Linked DNA regions of Nothobranchius furzeri. The protein of the gene in region 1 purifies or fractionates together with the protein of each later gene. This does not show direct contact. Links are inferred from orthologs where the notes say so. Each region holds a gene or a part of one and is shown in the gene's direction. Other genes may lie near its edges.

What was found.
Region 2: the proteins of rab11a (region 1) and wdr44 purify together in Homo sapiens (affinity purification with mass spectrometry; 3 studies listed by BioGRID and IntAct, counting the BioPlex papers as one, with this or other methods). This does not show direct contact. The link is inferred for Nothobranchius furzeri from reciprocal best matches to the Homo sapiens genes RAB11A and WDR44.

The regions. Positions count from the first base shown.
Region 1 is NC_091749.1:66,749,875-66,759,859, reverse strand, and holds the end of rab11a (ras-related protein Rab-11A), read left to right. Parts: intron 1-3,625; coding exon 3,626-3,762; 3' UTR 3,763-5,917; downstream 5,918-9,985. UniProt on the Homo sapiens protein: The small GTPases Rab are key regulators of intracellular membrane trafficking, from the formation of transport vesicles to their fusion with membranes.
Region 2 is NC_091750.1:46,976,080-46,985,438, reverse strand, and holds the end of wdr44 (WD repeat-containing protein 44), read left to right. Parts: coding exon 1-417; intron 418-681; coding exon 682-830; intron 831-912; coding exon 913-1,008; intron 1,009-1,193; coding exon 1,194-1,330; intron 1,331-1,505; coding exon 1,506-1,589; intron 1,590-1,676; coding exon 1,677-1,783; intron 1,784-1,866; coding exon 1,867-2,018; intron 2,019-2,094; coding exon 2,095-2,257; intron 2,258-2,334; coding exon 2,335-2,399; intron 2,400-2,512; coding exon 2,513-2,629; intron 2,630-2,714; coding exon 2,715-2,837; intron 2,838-2,931; coding exon 2,932-3,123; intron 3,124-3,209; coding exon 3,210-3,311; intron 3,312-3,390; coding exon 3,391-3,506; intron 3,507-4,437; coding exon 4,438-4,565; intron 4,566-4,643; coding exon 4,644-4,778; intron 4,779-4,851; coding exon 4,852-4,940; 3' UTR 4,941-5,549; downstream 5,550-9,359. Other genes in the region: zgc:163098 (U2 snRNP-associated SURP motif-containing protein), read right to left, coding at 5,753-5,876, 5,950-6,116, 6,505-6,615, 6,712-6,862, 6,959-7,022, 7,100-7,180, 8,084-8,273, 8,390-8,518 and 4 more. UniProt on the Homo sapiens protein: Downstream effector for Rab11 which regulates Rab11 intracellular membrane trafficking functions such as endocytic recycling, intracellular ciliogenesis and protein export.

The DNA.
Region 1 (9,985 bases):
TGATGGATCTCTTCCACTAACCAGCTAACTACAAACCTTTCCACTAACCTGACCTGTGTGACCCTCACCATGTGACCCTCATGTCCATGCTGTCTCTGGGGGAGCAGATAGGAGACAAGATCTCCTGTAACTTAAAAGGAACCAAAGCTTCCTCCCAGTTTCTCTTTAAGATGAATTTAACATCAGTTTATCTTCATGAAACAAAAGAATAAAGTGGAACAAGAACTTCTATCTTCTATTTCTCTCTCCTTTTAACTTTTCCGTGTCCCTACATAAAAGAGACAGACGATCACGCTGCAGCCGCCATCACTGACCCCGCCCCCTCCCCAAGACCGGATCTCCCAGCATCACAACACTCGGTCTGACTGAGCGCTTCCAGGAGAAATAATAATTAAATTATGAAAATAATAACGTGTTTGGAGCATCGGTTTGGAGGAGCGTCCTCCGATCCTCTCGTGTGAGCAGTGTCTCTCTCAGTCGCTGATCGAGCGAGCGGAGCACGCCGCATGACATCCTGCTCATTTAACATAATTCACGGCCCAAATCCAACAGAACCGGTCGGGCTGATTCGGTTCCGGTTCGGTCTCAGATTACAACTCCAGCGCTCAGCCCTGCAGTACCAAATTAAGGCGGAACCAGTTGGTAAATGTGGAGGACGCTCACTCTGACAGATTTGGATGCTGCGCTGGACAAACTACATTCCATTATAATCGATTATGGCGTACTCTTCTACGATGCAGAATCGTTTATGTCCCGCATCCCGATGCATCGAACAATTCATGCTACCAGATTATAAACACGAAAATCTGTGTTCATTTACAAACTAGCAATGCGTTCTTTGGTTCTGTCAGACTTTAATCAGAATCAGAATCAGAAGAATTTTATTGCCAGCGCTCCTTTCAGAGCGTAGGAACTTGACTCCACAGTACAACCTGACCAAGGTTACACACACACACACACATATAGACAAGACAGATACAGGCAGACCATGGGAGCAGCCATAACGGCGCTCCTTTGTAGATGAGTAAGGGAATACAGGAGGGAAGTTCAGGGAGGGAGAAAAAAGGCATTAACAGGGTTACACCAGCAGGGTGTAGCGCTCCAATGCAAAAAAAACACCCGACATGTAAGCAACAAACGTCACAGTTCACAACATGAGACCCGGTAGGTAGGGGGGTGGGGCTGGGATCCTGGTTTCATCAGCGGGGGCGGCCTGTGTGGCGCTCAACCAGCTGGCTCCGCAGGTGGGAGGGAGGTCAGGGGAAGCACAGAGAGCAGTGAGTCCTTCAGCTTCATGACCTCGGTAGAGAGCACAATCTGAAGGGGGGGGGGGGGGGGGGGGGGGGGGGATAGAGATTCACAGCATTTGTCTGCATTCCTTCCAGCATGGGGGTTTTGCATGCAACTCCAAGGCTGCTTATGGCGTCAGATTCGATAACAGAACTTTGTTTTGGGTCAGACAGAGATAATTTTTCCTCTCTGCCTTAAGTCTGTATTGATCATTCAAGTCCTCCAGTGAAGCCAATTCAGTGATTAAACATCTCCACACCGTCCGGTGACCCTTTCCGAGATGTTATCAATCCTGCACGCTAACACCGGTAACGCAGCCAAGACATTGTCCAGCTTGCGATTCACCTCGAGCAACGTCCCAGTCTGTGAGGTATCCACCCGGACGGTGCCGTCCATGGATGCGGGTCGCCCTCCAATCGCTCCCATCATCCCAATTTTACGGAAAGCCAGATATCCTCCCACTCCAATCAGAAGAAATCCAACGATCATCAGGCCAAATATCCACATATCTTCGACGTCCTCAATGGACAGCTGAGAGAGACAGATGATATTCCACTTTTTCCAGGAATCGAACATGTATCCCGCTGCATGTGTCCCCTGAGGACAAGCGTGAGCCCCCTCCTCCGTCCTCATTGTAGAAAAAATCTTATCAATCGCGTTGAATGACCAATTAATTAAGTCCATATTGAAAAATAAAAAGGTGATTGCAGAGGAAATGCAGAGAAGCGCTCTGTAGGCAGACGGGACAAAAAGAGCCTTGGGAAAACACAGATAAGGGAGGAAAGGCAGAAGCGTCTGCTCCCTGTGAGCGCCAGAGAAAGGGACTCTATTTAACTCTATTTTTATGAGCAGAGGCTGTTCAGGCAGCTGTAGAGTAAGACTTGAAGTATTTCTAAGTTTTACACAGAAACACGTCGGAATGACTCCATTAATCCCATTTGTTGTTGTCACCAATCTGCTCCTCTACCTCTATCTATGGGTGTTCCTCAAGGGTCGATACTGGGCCCAACCTTATTCAAAATCTGCATTAATAACATTGTTCATGCTATTCGCAGTTCTCATTAGGGTTGGGCATCGTGTGATTTTGAACGATTCCGATTCCAATTCCTCCTTTCGATTCCGGTTCCTATTGATTCCCGATTGCGATTCTTTCAAGACATTCCATGTTTTAAGTGAGCCAGCTAACCACAGGTCCTACTTGATGAAATAATCTTAACTTCAACATGGATTTTAATTCTATGAACAACAACATCACCTTCATTTAGACAAAAACATGTTTTAGAGAAAAAAATGGTAAATGGCCTGTATTTGATACAGTGCCTTTTAGAGTCCTGGAACGCCCCAAAGCGCTTTACAACCAATCAGTCATTCACCCATTCACACACACATTCACACACTGGTGGGGATGAGCTACAATGTAGCCACAGCTGCCCTGGGGCGCACTGACAGAGGCGAGGCTGCCGAGCACAGGCGCCACCGGTCCCTCCGACCACCACCAGCAGGCAACGTGGGTTAAGTGTCTTGCCCAAGGACACAACGACAGTGACAGACTGAGCGGGGCTCGAACCTGCAACCTTCCGATTACGGGGCGAGCACTTAACTCCTGTGCCACCGTCGCCCCCAAAAGACTTGCAGCACAACCAGTGTGTTTGTTTCTGACCACAACCAAAGTCTGGAAGAAGCCTCTGGGATGAGAGGCTAAATGTCTCCAGAAACGTCCAGCTGTTTTCCTACCTGCAGCAGCATTCAGTCAGAGCAGAAACTTAAATGTAGCTGCTGTCAGTAACAATCTAACAGATTTTAAACATTAAAACTCTCAACAGAAATAGTTCAAAAAGGAAATAAAAAATGTTATTTATTATTATTATAACTATTTATTGTGGCAGAAGCTGGTGTGGTCCACCACAGAGAAGCTTTTCTAGCATGATGACTTTAATTATTCTACAGGTTATTGTACGGGGGGCTCGGTGCTGCACACAGACAGCTGGTGTGATCAGCTCTGAAAAGCGTTGATCACAAATTGCAGATCACGTTTATTTTTCACGGAGAAAGGCCACGGATTCCTCTTCCGTCTGCATTCTAGGAATCAAAAAGAAAAACGATTCCGGGAAAAACTAACAGTTAGAACCGGTTCCAATCGATGCTCGATGCCAAACCCTGTTCTCATATACATTTATATGCGGATGACACCTTTGGTAGAGCAGGAAACGCAGGGATGGTAGCCCTCGAGGACGGGAGTTGGTGACGCCTACTTGAGGCAACCTGGAGTTTCATTTTAAAAGTCTGATCAGAAGATGTTTCTGAAACTTCCTGATTGAATCTTCTTCTCCTCCAGAGATTTACCGCATTGTGTCCCAGAAGCAGATGTCTGAGCGCCAGGAGAGCGACATGTCGCCTAGCAACAACGTGGTCAACATCCAGGTGCAGCCCACTGAAAACAAACCAAAGATGCAGTGCTGTCAGAACATCTAGCGCCGCCGTGGACCTGCTGCTACCCCCGCCCCATCCCCAGAGAACAGACTGCTTCGGTATGGAAACATCAAACCGCAGAGTCAAACCTGCAACCTGAACTCTACCTGCCCCACCTTAGTTAACCACCCACCCCCATTGTAAGACTAAGTGCCCCCCCCCCAGCAAAGCCCCATGTCTTTAGGCTACTGCAGGACAGCAGGCGTTTCCTCCCTCGTTAGATCTCCTTCCTGTAGAAGCGCTGACTCGTCTCAGAAACGTCTGAATGTGATTAGCTCCCCTCCTTCATTCCTCCACTTTTTTAATGACTCGTCTCGTATCTTCTTACTATATATAAATATATAAATCTGAAGCACATCGAATTCGCTCTGAAGCATAGTCCTCTGTCCACTCGTCTCCTGTCATTATAGCCCCGCCCCCTCCTATAGTGCAATGTACTGTCTGGAAACCACGTGGATGTATCGAGCGCACGAGCGCCGTTCGATCTGATGTCTGTGATTCTGTTCGCTTTGGGCGTGACTCGGTTTTATCATCACCTCTGCATCAGGTGTCTACGGAGGCCTGAAATGGACAAAAATCAATAAAAAATACATTTAAAAGGCTCAAAACAGTATTAATGTTTATCGATGCTTCTGTATGAATTTAAACTTCATTCTGTTATCAGTGTATTTAGAGCTCTTATTTGTTTCCGTATTTTGTTTTTAATTTACCTTTTAAGTAAATTATTGCACTTTTGAAAATCTGATGTTTTCTTTCATTTTCTCCTATCTTTTATATTTTCATGAGCTTAAATATGACGAGGCCTGTTGGCCGTTCTGGTGTCAGAACTACAGCTGATTTGGAGCTTTTGTGTTATTTTAGCTCAAGGCAGCTAGCCTTGTAGCTTAGAGGCTAAACAGGAAGTGTTTCTGTCCTTTTCTGGCTCCGTTTCAGGATCTCTGTTCGTCAGGAGATCTGAGCCAGCTCTGAGGAACAGACTCCGTCACAAAAGGAAATGGGAATAAAATTAAAGCAGAAATCAGAACAAATAAACACAAAATATAAAGATAAATAAGATAAATAATTAAACACATCTGATGAAAATAAAACAATTTTTAAAATCGGACAGTTTTTGGGCCGTTTTTGAATATGTATATTTTTGTCCTTTTCGGCTGTCCATACACCGCTTCTCATGCAGTGACCATCGCTCTGCTGCACTGCATGCTGGGAAACGACATGGATCTGGGTCAAGGGCAGGACTCCTGAACGTTCCGGTTCCGATGCCTGTGCTGAGATGTGATGAAACCCAAACAAAAGCGATTTAATTTTCACAGATCTAAAGCAGACCTGATTGGGTTTCTGATCCCACCCTAAACAGAACAGGTGAATCCCTTCATGACATTCCTCTGACCCACAGAACCGCTGGCTTGCAAAGATAAAGACTGACCCACGCGGAGGTCCGATTCCTGCACTAAACATCTGTAACTTTGTTCTGGTCAAAGATTAGATTTTTTAGCAGAACCAGAACCACTGTTTTAGAACCAGACTAGAGGAATCGGTCGAGCTGATTCGCAGTACCTCCTGCTGCTTGGCCGCCATCGACCCACATGTTCTGATCCGACCCGATCCTCGTGTGCCGTCACATAAAGCCTACATACACCGAGCTGCCTCTGACTTCCACACAGCGCACGGCTCCACCTCATATCGCCTTACATAGTCATTCAGTCATCAAGTAGTCAGAACCGTGCACGGTCCAACCCGACCCGGTTCGGTCCGGTCTGTAAACCGATGCCTCGCTAATGTCTCAAACCCCTGAGTGTTTGTGTTTAGTTACAGAGGGTAGCTCTGGAGTTTGTGAGCCTGGCTGGTTGTTTGGACCCGCAGCACCGCCAGCCTGACCTCTCCAGAACCAGCAGCTGGTTGACAGAGAATGAGTTCTGATCCAGATCAGTTGATTCCATTGTTGTTTTTTAAAGAAGTGTTTTGATTTTTATCTGGTTGATTCTGTAACTGACTGTAATGAAATGATGTCATTTCACCTAGTTGGAGGTTAATGTGAGAACGGGTCCAAATGGGTCCAAACCAACGCTTTTATGTTTGTACAGATCGATGAATTGTACAATGTGTCAATAACTTAAGTTATCAGTTTATCTTAATAAAGCTCACCAGTCATAAACCAGCAGACTTTCACTTCCTGTTAAACACCAAGTTCCAAGTTTAGAGGTGCCACCACGTCCCAAAGGTTCTGGACTGGTCTGAGATCTGAAGGTCGTTGGGAGACCTGTGAACTCATGGTCATGTTCTAGAAACCAGTTGGGGAAGATGTGAACTTTGTGACATGGTGCATGATCCTGCTGGAAGTAGAAGATGGGTCCATGTGGTCAAAGGGATGGACATGGTCACCAACAAGACTCAGGTAGGCTGTGGCGTTGAAACCAAGCTCAGGTGGTACTGATGGGTCCAAAGTGGGATTAGAACACCCCCAACAACTAATACACCACCAGCAGCCTGAAGGGTTGATACAAGGCAGGATGGATCCATGCTTCCGTGTTGGCGACACCAAATTCTGACCTGACAGCTAAAATCCAGACGCACCAGACCAGGAAAGTTTTCTCCGGTCTCTCCTGGTCCAGTTCTGGTGATCCTGTGGGAATTGTAGCTTCAGTTTCCTGTTCTTACCTGACAGGAGAGACACCTGGTGCAGTCCTCTGCTGCTGTGGTTCTGCAGACCTGAGTAGGAACCATAGCTGCTGTTGACTAGAACAAGGTTGGGGTGGTGGGGGCAGAGGTGTTGAGTGCCCACCCTGTAACTGGAGGGTTGTAAGTTTGCATCCCACTCACTTAAGTTGTTGTGTCCTTGAGCAAGACACTTAGATTTTGTGAAGCGCCGTGGGGTTTAGAAGGTGCTAACATTTCAGTATAATTTCTGGTTCCTTTCTGCGGTGTCTGTGCAACTAACAAACCATAAAACCACTCATCTGAGTTCTGACAGGTTTATTCAGTTCAGACTCGTTACACCTACCGAAGCTTTTCTCGGGTTCACGGATGAAAGCGTGAGCAGAAACAAACCATTTTACATCCGGTCAGCTTTGGAGCTCCTCAGGGCTCGGTGCTCGTTCGGCTTTTTTTATGAAATTGTTTTTATTCTGAAACAAAATCATCGTGTTTGACTCTGAGGAAACGCCATCTTTAGCTGCTTGTACAGTTAGTTATACGTCAAAAGGTGAATGACTATATTTAGCATTTTAAAGTCAGTTTTTCAGCTTCATTTCAAACAACTTAATCTCTTAATTGTAACATTAAAAATACTGACCAACAATTATCCTGTAGTACAAACAGTATATACACTCACTGGCCACTTTATTGGGTACGCCTTGGTAGTACCGGGTTGGACCCACTTTTGCTTTCCGAACTGCCTTAATCCTTCGTGACAAAGATTCAACAAGGTACTGGAATCATTCCTCAGAGATTTTGGTCCCTATTGACATGATGCCATTTCACAGTTGTTGCAAATTTGTCGTCTGCAAATCTCCCGTTCCACCACGTCTCAAAGGCTCTCTATTGGATTGAGATCTGATGACTGTGGAGTCCATCTGAGAACAGTAAACTCATTGTCATGTTCAAGAAACCAGTCTGAGATGATTTGAGCTTTAGGACATGGCTCATTATCCTGCTGGAAGAAGCCATCAGAAGATGGGTACACTGTGGTCATAAAAGGATGGATCAGCAAAAATATTCAGGTAGGCTGTGTCAAAGATTATCAGTTAGTACTAAGGGGCCCAAAGGGTGCCAAGAAAATGTCCCCCACACCATTACACCACCACCAGCAGCCTGAACTGTTGATACAAGGAAGGATGGATCCATACTTTCATGTTGTTGACGCCAATTTCTGACCCTACCATCCAAATGTCGCTGCAGGAATTGGGACTCATCAGACCAGGCAACATTTTTACAGTCTTCTACTGTCCAATTTTGGTGAGCCTGTGGGAACTGTAACTTCAGTTTCCTGTTCTTAGCTGACAGTAGTGACACCCGTTGTGGTCTTCTGCTGCTGTAGACCATCTGCCTCAAGGTTCAACTTGTGTGTTCAGAAATGCTCTTCCGCACATACCTTGGTTGTAACGAGTGGTTATTTGAGTTACTGTTGCCTTTCTATCAGCTCGAACCAATCTGGCCATACTCCTCTGACCTCTGGCATCAACAAGGCATTTTCACCCACAGAACTGCCGCTCACTGGATGTTTTCCTTTTTTTGGACCATTCTCTGAAAACCCTAGAGATGGTTGTGTGTGACAATCCCAGAAAATCAGCAGTTTCTGAAATACTCAGACCAGCCCATCTGGCACCAACAAACATGCCACGTCCAAAGTCACTTAAATCACCTTTCTTCCCCATTCTGAAGGACCGGTCGAACGCCATCTCCAAATCCATAAAACACATGTAGTTTGATTGGGCGAACTTCCACGCACCCTCCAGGACCCCCCTAAGGGTATAGAGCTGGCCCAGTGATGATAAACAAATTGATGACATACATAAAATAATTACTCAGAAATTACCCATCCATCCATCATTTGAACCAGCTTGACCACGCAGGGTTGCGGGGGTGGGTGGGGGGGTGCTGGTGTCTATCTCCAGCGGTCAATGGGCAATCAGGCAGGGTACACCCTGGACAGAGAGCCAGTCCATCGCAGCTCAGAAATTATATAAAACAAAAATAATATCTTTGAAATTTGAATCTTAAGCTGCTATTATTATTATTATTAAGATATAAATTGAGTGGTTCTGAAACTAATAAATACGATAAAAAGAACCAACATAAGATGTGTGTATCGAGCATAAACATGACATTTCCCATGAGCCTATGGTGAACCAGTAGGGGGCGTGTCCTGAGAGCAATCGGGGTTTCAGTAAAAGTGGCCCACCCCAAAAACATTTAGATTTTACTTTATGCATTTATATTTAATTAAAATACTTCATTGTGATATTGGAGCCAATGTGGCAACACACACAGCTGTTTCTTTTATTTGTTTTATTCACAAACAAACCCTAACCTGACTCTGGTCCTCAGCTTCTCTCGCTTGATGCTTTTCTGGAGTCCGCCTGGACGACTGGGTTCCTCTCAGGAACCTCATCTGGTTCTGCAATCTACAAACAAGAAGGTCTCAATCTCATCTGTGCAGAAACGAGCTACCAGACCGTTCCTATTCAAAGACTGCCTCTTCTCCAAGAACTCACAAAGATTTTACACATGAGGTCCAGATGAAGGAGGTGCTGTTGGTTCCAGGATGGAAACCTAGAAACTGTGTATCTGTACTGGGTTTAACTATCTTCAGGAGCAGCAGCCTGGTTGTTACTCTCAGGGGTCATCACCTGTAGTAACCATTATGTGACCTTTTAAAAGGAGGAACAAAAGTAAAAATATAATATAATATAAAAACAAAGTTTAGTTTGACTAAAATAATTACTGGTTAGGTTTGTGTTTCCTGTCTCAACAGGCTGAAAATCTATTAATATTTACGTTTTTAAACTTACACTACCAACACTATCTATAGTGGGGACGGTTTGCTGCTGACCTCTACTCAGGAAGTTGTGGATTGGTGGGCAGAATACTTCGAAGACCTCCTCAATCCCACTGACACGTTTTCCAGTGAGGAAGCAGAGTCTGGGGACTTTGGGTTGGCCTCTCAAATCTCTGGTGCTGAGGTCACTGAGGTGGTTAAAAAGCTCCTCTGTGGCAAAGCTCCAGGGGTGGATGAGATCTGCCCGGAGTTCCTTAAGGCTCTGGATGTTGTGGGGCTGTGTTGGCTGACGCGGCTCCGCAACATCGCGTGGACATCGGGTGCAGTCCCACTGGACTGGCAGACCGGGATGGTGGTCCCCTTATTTAAAAAGGGGGACTGCAGGGTGTGTTCCAACTACAGGGGGATCACACTCCTGAGCTTTCCTGGTAAGGTCTATTCAGGGGTTCTGGAGAGGAGGGTCCGTCGGATTGTTGAACCTCAGATTCAGGAGGAGCAATGTGGTTTTCGTCCTGGCCGTGGAACACTGGACCAGCTCTATACCCTTAGGGGGATCCTGGAGGGTGCGTGGGAATTTGCCCAACCAGTCTACATGTGTTTTGTGGATTTGGAGGAGGCGTTTGACCGCGTCCCTCAGGGGGGCCCTGTGGGGGATACTCTGGGAGTATGGGGTACCAGGCCCTCTGATACGGGCTGTTAGGTCCCTGTTTGACCGGGGTCAGAGCTTGG
Region 2 (9,359 bases), on another chromosome or scaffold:
AAAGCGTAGCAGCAAATGGGGAATGCTCTTTACCGGATCCTGGACCTACAGGCGCTCTAGGTCCATCATCTGCATCACAAGAACAGGTACAACCTCCAGATATCACCAGCACCATCGGACAGAGTCGGCCTGAAGCTGCTGTCGTGGCTCCAGGAGGCCAAAGGGAGCAGAGGCCCGCAGACCTCTTAGACCAAGTCCCCCTAACAGACAGGCCGTCTGATTCAGACTCACCGGGGCCTTTGAAACCCCCCCGACAATTCACAGTAGAACCAGATATTGTAGCCAGCACAAAAAAGCCTCCCCCCTCTCGCCCACCCCCACCTGTTGGCGGTCCCCCACGTAGACCTCCCCCACCCTCCAGGAACACCATACCCTCCAAGAAGTCCCAGGAGAGCCTGAGGCCGTGTGGACTGGACGGTGAGGAGACGTTGGAGTCATTTTTACTCAGTTTAAACATTTTAGCTCAAAATGTGAATTATTGTTGACCATTTATGCGGCAAAATGGCAAACACATTTCTCTGTGTGTTCTTATTAAACAAAAGGTGATCATGTGGACAAATCTTTTATTTATTCAGACTGTCAAACAGACAAATGACAGTTTAACCTGAAGGGTGTGACTCATGCTGCGTTGGGAGGATTTAGGTCGTTTTCTGTGCTGTGATTTCCTGTGTGATTCTCCAGTTTCTGCAGTGAGTTCGGTCGGCTGTGATTCTCTGGATCCCTCCGGTCTGGTGTCTCCCTGCAGCACAGTGACGAGTCTCACCAAAGATCTCCAGCATTCCTTGGATCTGGCCAGTGCCACCAGCGGGGACAAGGTGGTGACGGCACAGGTCAGTGGGGCCGTGGACCAGAGCACTTCACCCTCAGCCGCTCTAAGATCAGACTTTTAATTTCAATGTATTTTTGTCTTAGGAACATGAGGACGAACAGGCCTCATCGCAGAGTGTAGGACATGCCGCAGGTCCTCAGCGCCCACGTTCCAACTCTGGTAGAGAACTAACAGATGAAGTAAGAGTCTGTGTGCTTTTTCTCATTCATTAGCATTTAATGCCTGCCATGCTGAATCTTTTCCTGAGTTAATGTGTGACAATAGCAGTAAATCAGGGATTGGCAGCCTTATGAAAACGTTTCTTTATGGTTTTCAAATAATCTGATTTTCTACAAAACCATACTTGTGTGTAATCCTTGAACAGGAAATACTGGCCAGCGTGATGATCAAGAATTTAGACACCGGTGAAGAGATTCCTCTGATTCAGGCAGAAGAGAAACTTCCAGCAGGCATCAACCCTCTCACTCTGCACATCATGAGGAGGACCAAGGAATACGTCACGTAAGCAGGAAATCATTTGAAATGGCTCCGTGGGTACGTGTAGTTAAGTAGCTAACAGGAAAGTCCAGCTTTCACAGGTGAACTGGTGTTGCTTTGGGTGTGTGCACGTTGCACACATTCAAACCATTTTCTGAATCAAATAAGGAAACCTGTGGGATTTTCTTTTCTCACTCAGGAATGACGCAGCTCAGTCGGATGATGACGACAAGTCTCAGACTGCGCTAATGGACACAGATGGTGGAAAACTGAAGCAGAAAACGTAAGGGTTCTTCGGTTTGACTCGCCCTGTTCCCTCATGATTTAACTTTGGAAGTGAAAAAGAATTCTCCTTTTGGTTTACAACCAGAACTCAGCTGAAAAAATTCCTGGGCAAGTCTGTGAAAAGGGCCAAGCATCTCGCTGAGGAGTATGGAGAGAAGGCGGTCAATAAGGTCAAGAGCGTGCGTGATGAAGGTATTTTGTTTGTTTTTGAAGCATTTGAGCTGCCGTTAACATGTTTTCATGCAGAGACTTTTTAGTTTTGTTCTCCTCTGAAGTGTTCCACACAGATCCGGACGACCCTTCATCGAGTGATGATGAGGGCATGCCTTACACCAGACCTGTAAAGTTCAAGGCCGCTCATAGCTTCAAGGGTCCTTTCGACTTTGATCAGATCAGAGTTGTGCAGGACCTGAGTGGAGAGCACATGGTAGGACGATCCCAGCCCTGCTGGTTATTGTTTCTGATCAAAGTCGGCATCCTAAAACCTCCATGCTGTCCTCCAGGGGGCCGTTTGGACAATGAAGTTTTCTCACTGTGGGAGGCTCCTGGCAACGGCAGGCCAGGACAACATCGTTCGCATCTGGGTCTTAAAGACTGCCTTTGATTACTTCAATAATATGAGATTAAAGTACAACACTGATGGTCTGTTCTCTAGGAACCCTGATGGTGACCTGAATGGTGATAGATCCTGTAGCTAAATAACGACTCGCGGTTTCATTCTTGTGATATTTTGGCTCCTCCAGGTCGAGTTTCCCCTTCTCCTTCCCAGGAAAGTTTATGCTCCTCTAAATCTGACACTGATCCTGGGGTGAGTCTCCAACAGCTCTTGATGATGAGCAACTTTTCATGTTGTCAGTGTGTAAAAACAATAATCAGATACTTAATAAAACTGAAGGATTCTGAGTCGTTTTTGTGTTTTAGACGAGTTGTATTCCAGAGGACCCGGATACTGAAGACAGACATACTCCTTTCCGTCAAGTCCCCTTCTGCAAGTACAAGGGTCACACTGCTGACCTGCTGGACCTGTCCTGGTCCAAGGTGATTGTCTCTCTTATTTCACAATTGAGCTCTCTTCATGCTTTTAGTCCGTTTTTGTTTCAGCTTTTCCGTTTTGTGTTTCTAGAACTTTTTCCTGCTCTCTTCTTCTATGGATAAGACGGTCCGATTATGGCACATATCCAGGAGAGAATGTCTCTGCTGCTTTCAGCACATAGATTTTGTCACAGCCATTGCTTTTCACCCCAGAGTAAGTGGAGTCGGGTCGGCTCAGCATCGTCTCGGTGCAAACATCTGTACATCTGCTGGTTTTATGGAAGCGTTTGGTCCTCCTTCCTCCCCAGGATGACAGATACTTTTTAAGCGGCTCTCTGGATGGAAAACTACGACTTTGGAACATTCCAGACAAGAAGGTGGCGTTGTGGAATGAGGTGGATGGCCAGACTCGGCTCATCACTGCAGCCAACTTCTGCCAAAATGGAAAGTATGCGGTCATCGGCACGTACGACGGCCGATGCATCTTCTATGACACCGAGGTATCGTGCTGCTCAACCGAACACATCAGTTTGCTCTTTATAGGAATCACGAGTTTGAAATATGATTTCCTCTCATCCGCCATTAGCGTCTGAAATATCACACTCAAATACACGTGAGGTCCACCAGAGGGAGGAATAAAGTCGGACGCAAAATTACTGGGATTGAGCCTCTGCCTGGTGAAAATAAGGTAAACCCCGCCCCCCCCCAGACTTACCAGCATGTTCAAGTCTCTGTAATGAAGCTCTGAAACCACCTATCCTCCACAGATTCTGGTCACTTCCAATGATTCCCGCATCCGCCTATACGACCTGAGGGACTTGTCTCTGTCCATGAAGTACAAGGGTTACGTCAACAGCAGCAGCCAGATCAAGGCCAGCTTCAGGTGAGGAAGGTTTCCCATCAGACTGGAGAAAAGCAGTCTGGTTAAAAACTAGGGATGCACAATATATCGACATCAGTATCGGCAGATGGTTTTAACATATCGCTATCGGTCTGATAAATAGAACTGGGCCGATATTAACAACCGATATTTTTTCCATCTTGTTTCCATTTAGTGATTTCAGAGGGTGAGGGGGGTGATGTGTGTTTTAGTCATGTGACAGTGATTGTAATCATCTCAGAAGCATAAATGTGTGTGTTGTGTGTACATAACGTAAAATCAGCTTTAATCATTTTCTTTCTCTACAAAATCTGCTGGTTTTAGAAGCATTAATGTCAGTATATCCGCATTGGCAAATATCTGTTATCGGCAGGGCTGCACAATATAGCGCAAATATATTGTTATTGCGATATCAGCATGCACAATATGCATATTGCAAAGGACAGATAAATATTGCAATGGTCAGCTCAAATGTTTGCTACACATAATGCATTCTGTCAAACAGAAGCATGACGTATTTTTAACAACTCAAATAGAGCTTTTCACCCATTTGGCCAATTGGGTGGGTTCTCCTAGGTTAGATGCCCGCCCCCGAGGCAGACGGCACTTAATTTTGATGGTTAGCAAACACCTGAGTTAGGTTTGTTCTGCTCTTTTTGCTGATTGTGCTTTTCCCGGGATCCACTGGTTGCATTTTCTTGTTCATTTTCATTTTCCCTTTCCTCATCTTTTGCTTTTCTCATTTTTATGATTTTTTTGGTCATTTTTTTCATTTCTTTGTTTATTGCAAGTAATATCGCCATCACAATGTTAATCTGTTATCGCATATTGCAGGTTTTCCTAATATTGTGCAGCCTTAAGTAATCGAATATCTGCATCGCCCCAAAAGTTTCATATCGGTGCATCACTATTAAAAACAAATGTCTTCTTACAGCCATGACTACTCCTTTATCGTGAGTGGCTCTGAGGATAAATACGTGTACATCTGGAGCACTTACCACGATCTAAGCAAGTTCACATCCGTACGACGGGACCGCAATGACTTCTGGGAAGGGATCAAAGGTACCTGCACTGTTTATTAAAATTGACATTCCTGTGGTGTGAACTCCGTTTTGCTACAGCAGCTGCTCTGTTTTCCAGCACACAACGCGGTGGTCACCTCAGCCGTGTTTGCACCTCATCCAGGGCTCATCGTCCCTCAGGAAACGGGAACGGAGAAGCCAGAAGCGGACCGTAAAAGCCTGGACTCCACAGACTCTGAAACGATACCATCAGGTACGTTCTCCTGGGTTAAGCTCACAGAGAGGCGTTTCTTTCAGCTGAGTAAAGTTCTTGTTTGTTTTTGCAGGCGCCCTAAAAACCGATCACACGGAGGTTCTTCTGTCTGCTGATTTCACTGGAGCCATCAAAGTTTTTATCAATGTTAAAAAGTACTGAGCAGTTCAGGGTCCTCTGCTCTTCATGCACAGGTGTGCCTGTTAAGAGATTAGTCCCTAACGATGGAGGGCATGTCCTAATGGTGATAGATAAGGGACAGAAAACTGTTCACAAGTGACTAAATGAGATTCCTCGTCACATTTCTGTTTTTATCTTTCAAAGCAGGCAAACGTGAAAGGGTTGGTAAACAAATGGAGCTGTTTATGTACATTTATAGCTGAACGGCCCGGTCGCTAAGTTTTTTGCATCAGAATGAGCACCTTCCTGATTTGCGTCTCACATCTCAGAAGAATATGTTGCAACGGTTAAATTCTAATACCTTGTTTTAAATTTGTCTTTTTGTCAAGTTGGATTAAAATCTTATTTATGGTCATTTGTTTTCCCCACAGGAAGTGATTTCCTTTCCTTTAACACCAACCCTTCCATCACATCCGCAGTAAAAGATTCAGTTACTAATGAATCCTGCAGGGTTGTTCAGAAGTCACTGGGTCTCGTTTCTGTGTTCAGCTAAAGCACATTTCATGATAGGACTGTAAATCCGTTAAATGGCAAACCTCCTGCTTTTGTAAACAACTTATGTACTTTCCTCAATAAAACTTTTCAGAAATGCTGGCTGAGCTTTTCTTTTGCAGCCCTGCTAAGTTCTGGCATAAAAAACTATTCAGTAAACAGAATTCATCACCAAAGATGATTTAATGTCAGAATTTGCAGCATTAGATTATTTTAAAAACAAAAATATAAGTAGTTACAGTGTTGAAACTTCACATAGAAAAGGGAGCTGGATCTTGCATGGATGGTTGGAACAGCAGCAGTCAGTGTTTACTCTTCTTCGACTTCTTATGGGAGCGATGTGGCGACCGTGACCTGGACTTTTTGGACTTTAGAACTGGGGATGGTGATCGGGAACGTTTGGACCGTTTGGGAGACTTTTTCCTGCTAAATGGAAAGAAGATAAATTGTAAGAATATGATAAACATCTGTGTTACAATCTTATTTTGTTAGTACTTGCCTTATGGGAGAGCTGCTCCGTGATTTTCGAGCTTGTTCTCCAGTATCGCTGCTCCGTCTTCTGTCGCCTTCATCCTTTCTTTTGCTCTTCTCTCTGTTCCGCCTGTCATCTTTCTGCCCGTCTTTGGACTTTGATCTCTCATTCTTTTCTTCGTTCTTTTCAAACTCCTGCAGCAGAAACATTTCAGTAACTCCAAGTCTTTAATATAATTGAGAACAAGATGCAAATTTCTCCCGTGAGCTTCATTCCACATCCATACTTGACTGATAAACTAATACACTAGGAGAAAAATGTAACCGAGAGCCAGATAAGTTTCAGAACTAGTAACTCTCAAAGGAAAATTTTTTTCTTGATTCCAGTCATGTCCAACAAATGCAACATACATAACTCTGAAACTCTCACCAGACGTGTAGCTACACTTCTCTCCCTGTAGATGGTGCACTTCTGATTAATTCTGGGACTGTGTGTGCTGAGCTGACTCAAGCTATGAGAACATTTTTAGGACTACAGTTTTAATTCTGGCAGAAGAAACAAGTCATAAACTAAAATATTCACCTTCTGTAGCAGTTTGTTTCTGTAGTGCTCCACTTGATGCTGCATGCTCTGTCCGGACTTCCTCGGCCTTTTCCCAGACTCCAGCTCATCCTGGAACTTCATTACCTTTACCTGTGTCAGAAACAGTCCATCAGCTCCACTCCTTACTAAGAGCTTTGACTGATCAGTAGAAATGTGTTTAAAACCCTGGTGGTGGTGTTTCGTTACCTCTACCTCCCTCAGCCTTTTCCTTTTACTCTCAGACACTTGGAAACTTTTGAGGGAGCTCTGGAAAACCGCACTGTCATAGTTTGGTGCACCGGAGGAGTCGGCACTGCTGTCGCTCTCCGAGTCCTCGTCTTCCTCGTGTGAGTTGCTGCTGTTGTCAGGATGGAGAGGAGAGACGTAAACATATCGATAGATCACGTCACTGTTGTAATGAATAAAGAACTGAAACCAATCACTTCGGCCTCACCTAACATTCACTTTATCTTCATCCTCTTGCTCGCCCACAGTGTCCCACTTGGACTCGGCTTTGGCTGAGACAAAAAGAACAATGAGCGGAGAGGATGCCAGAGGCTGGTCCAGTGACAGAGGACATCTGGACGTGTCTTACCATGAGAAAATGTCCCAGTGTCACTGGTTTTCTCCCATTTAGACAAAGGCACCCCAGAAAGACGGTTACTGCTCTCATACACTGAGGACAACAGAGAGCGGGTTCAGGTAAGCAGACACTTAATCACAGAGCACATGAATCTGCTCAGACACCTGGTACGGTTTGGTTTCAGCACCGATGTAGTGAGGTGCAGCAGAAAAAACAAACAGTACACAGAACAGCTGTCCTAAGGGGACATAACAGGGTTTTTGAAGTGCCACTCTAAAGAAATCTCACAACTAAAAACCATCTTACTTGCTGCAAATAGCTGAACGACTTCAGTCTGAAAGGCCTGACCAGCCCAGAGCTACTCCGGTTTTATGCAAACACTATTTAGTAGGCCTTTACACTGCCTGTGATTCTGCATTCCTATGGTGGGCTGGGTTTTGGACAAAAATACCGACTGTGTGTTTACTATTCTTTAAGAATTGTATGTAAAATATATTTAGAGTAAACATTACCTTGAATTGGGAGGAACTGTTTTTACACTCTCCAAATCAGCATCAATGAAGAACAACCCTTAATATTTTTGTTAGAAAACCTTCAGATGGGGTTTTAGATGTCATACGCCCCATGGGTACCTCTTTGTATGCATGCATCAAACTACAGTTTCAGATGGTCCCAAAGGCGGCTGCTCAGGTTCTAACGAACACTAGGAACCATCATTACATTTTCCCAGTACTGGCTGCCCTTCACCAGACCAGTGTTCAGTTTAGGGTTCATAAAAACGTCCCTGCATCTCATCTGTCTGACATTCTTCATCCATGTTGCTTCATGGCCTTTCGTTTGGCTGGACAGCTGCAGCTGGAAGCTCAAACAGCACGTCTGAAATCCAGGGGGGAGCAGACTAGCCCTTAGCTCATCAGTCCTTCCAAACCAAAGCTTTTAGTGAACCGTTTCACAGAAAGCTTAGAAATGACTTTAAATTGTTTACAGTGGACTCACAGGGTATTCCATCTATGTCATCTATAGCAGTGGCCAAAGGAACACCATCTAGATCATCTACAGGTACCCCATCCAGGGGGTCCCAGCCCATGGGGCAGCCGTCGATGTCATCCACTGGAGATCTGCCCAGTCGTAACCCATCTACAAGGGTTCTGTCCAGCAGCACACCATCAAGCTCACGGGACGTATCCTATGAGACAAACAAATTCCTTACCAGGTGTTTGGTGTCCGTTTTATCAGCACCCCCAGATGTTTATATGGAGTTACAATAAGACCTTAGTGCCTGTGCCGAGAGGATAAGCTCACCTCTACCGTCTCTGCTTCCTCTTCTCCTGCTTTGACGAAGCCCAGAAAGATGTTCTGAAGGCGGATTAGATAAGGCTCTGGATATATGGCCCAGTCTTCCCACGCTCTAAAACAATTCATGACCTTTTGCTGCAAAGACAGGACATGAACATGGTTCCTCTTCCCTTCTGTCCCATTTAAGAGAAATGTGGTGACTGTGTGAGGCGACGCATTACCTTAAACTGCTCGGCCTGCAGCCGGGCTTGTATGTTCTTATAGGCGGCATTAAGAAACTCAAATATCTGCGGTAGCTTTGTTTCAAGACTGGAAAAAAAAAAAAGAGATATTTTGGAGAAATGAAATAAAAATAAATTAAATTAGAAGTAATAAATGTGAATGAAAGAAAGCTCCTTACTATTTACGATAATATGATGCACCGGCTACTTTAGCACTAGAGTTGTGCAGAAGGTCTGAGACGAGATACAACCTAGAGATCTGTGAGATGTAAGGAAACACATAAGCAGATGTTTTCTTCTGTGATTACTATGTGTTCACACAGAGACTAGCCTTCTTCTGAAGGGGTGTCGGAAGCACAGAAAACGAGTCGGTGACGAGTCCCACTACTTCTTCTGCAGCATCTGCTCGTTCCAGGCAGAACATCATGGCACTGGCGATACCGTCTCTGCTAGGAGTCAGCTCCTCTAGAAGTGTCTCCAGTTTCTGTTTGTGCCTGATTCAGGTTTACAGAACAACAAAACTCCTTCAATGTTAAGTTACGACCCAACGATGTCCTAGACCAGCGGGGCAGACTTACTCAGCTCTGAGCTGACCCTTCTTCACCTCCTCCTCCTCTAAGGGAGACGTGTTCATTCCCTCTGCTCCATCATCTCCTCTCAAAGAGTAAGTATTTAGGACAGGGGGTCTCCATACTGAGCCTCCTCTGAACATACGGAAATCGGCTGTCCTCCACTTGGTGGGAGACTCTCCCTGT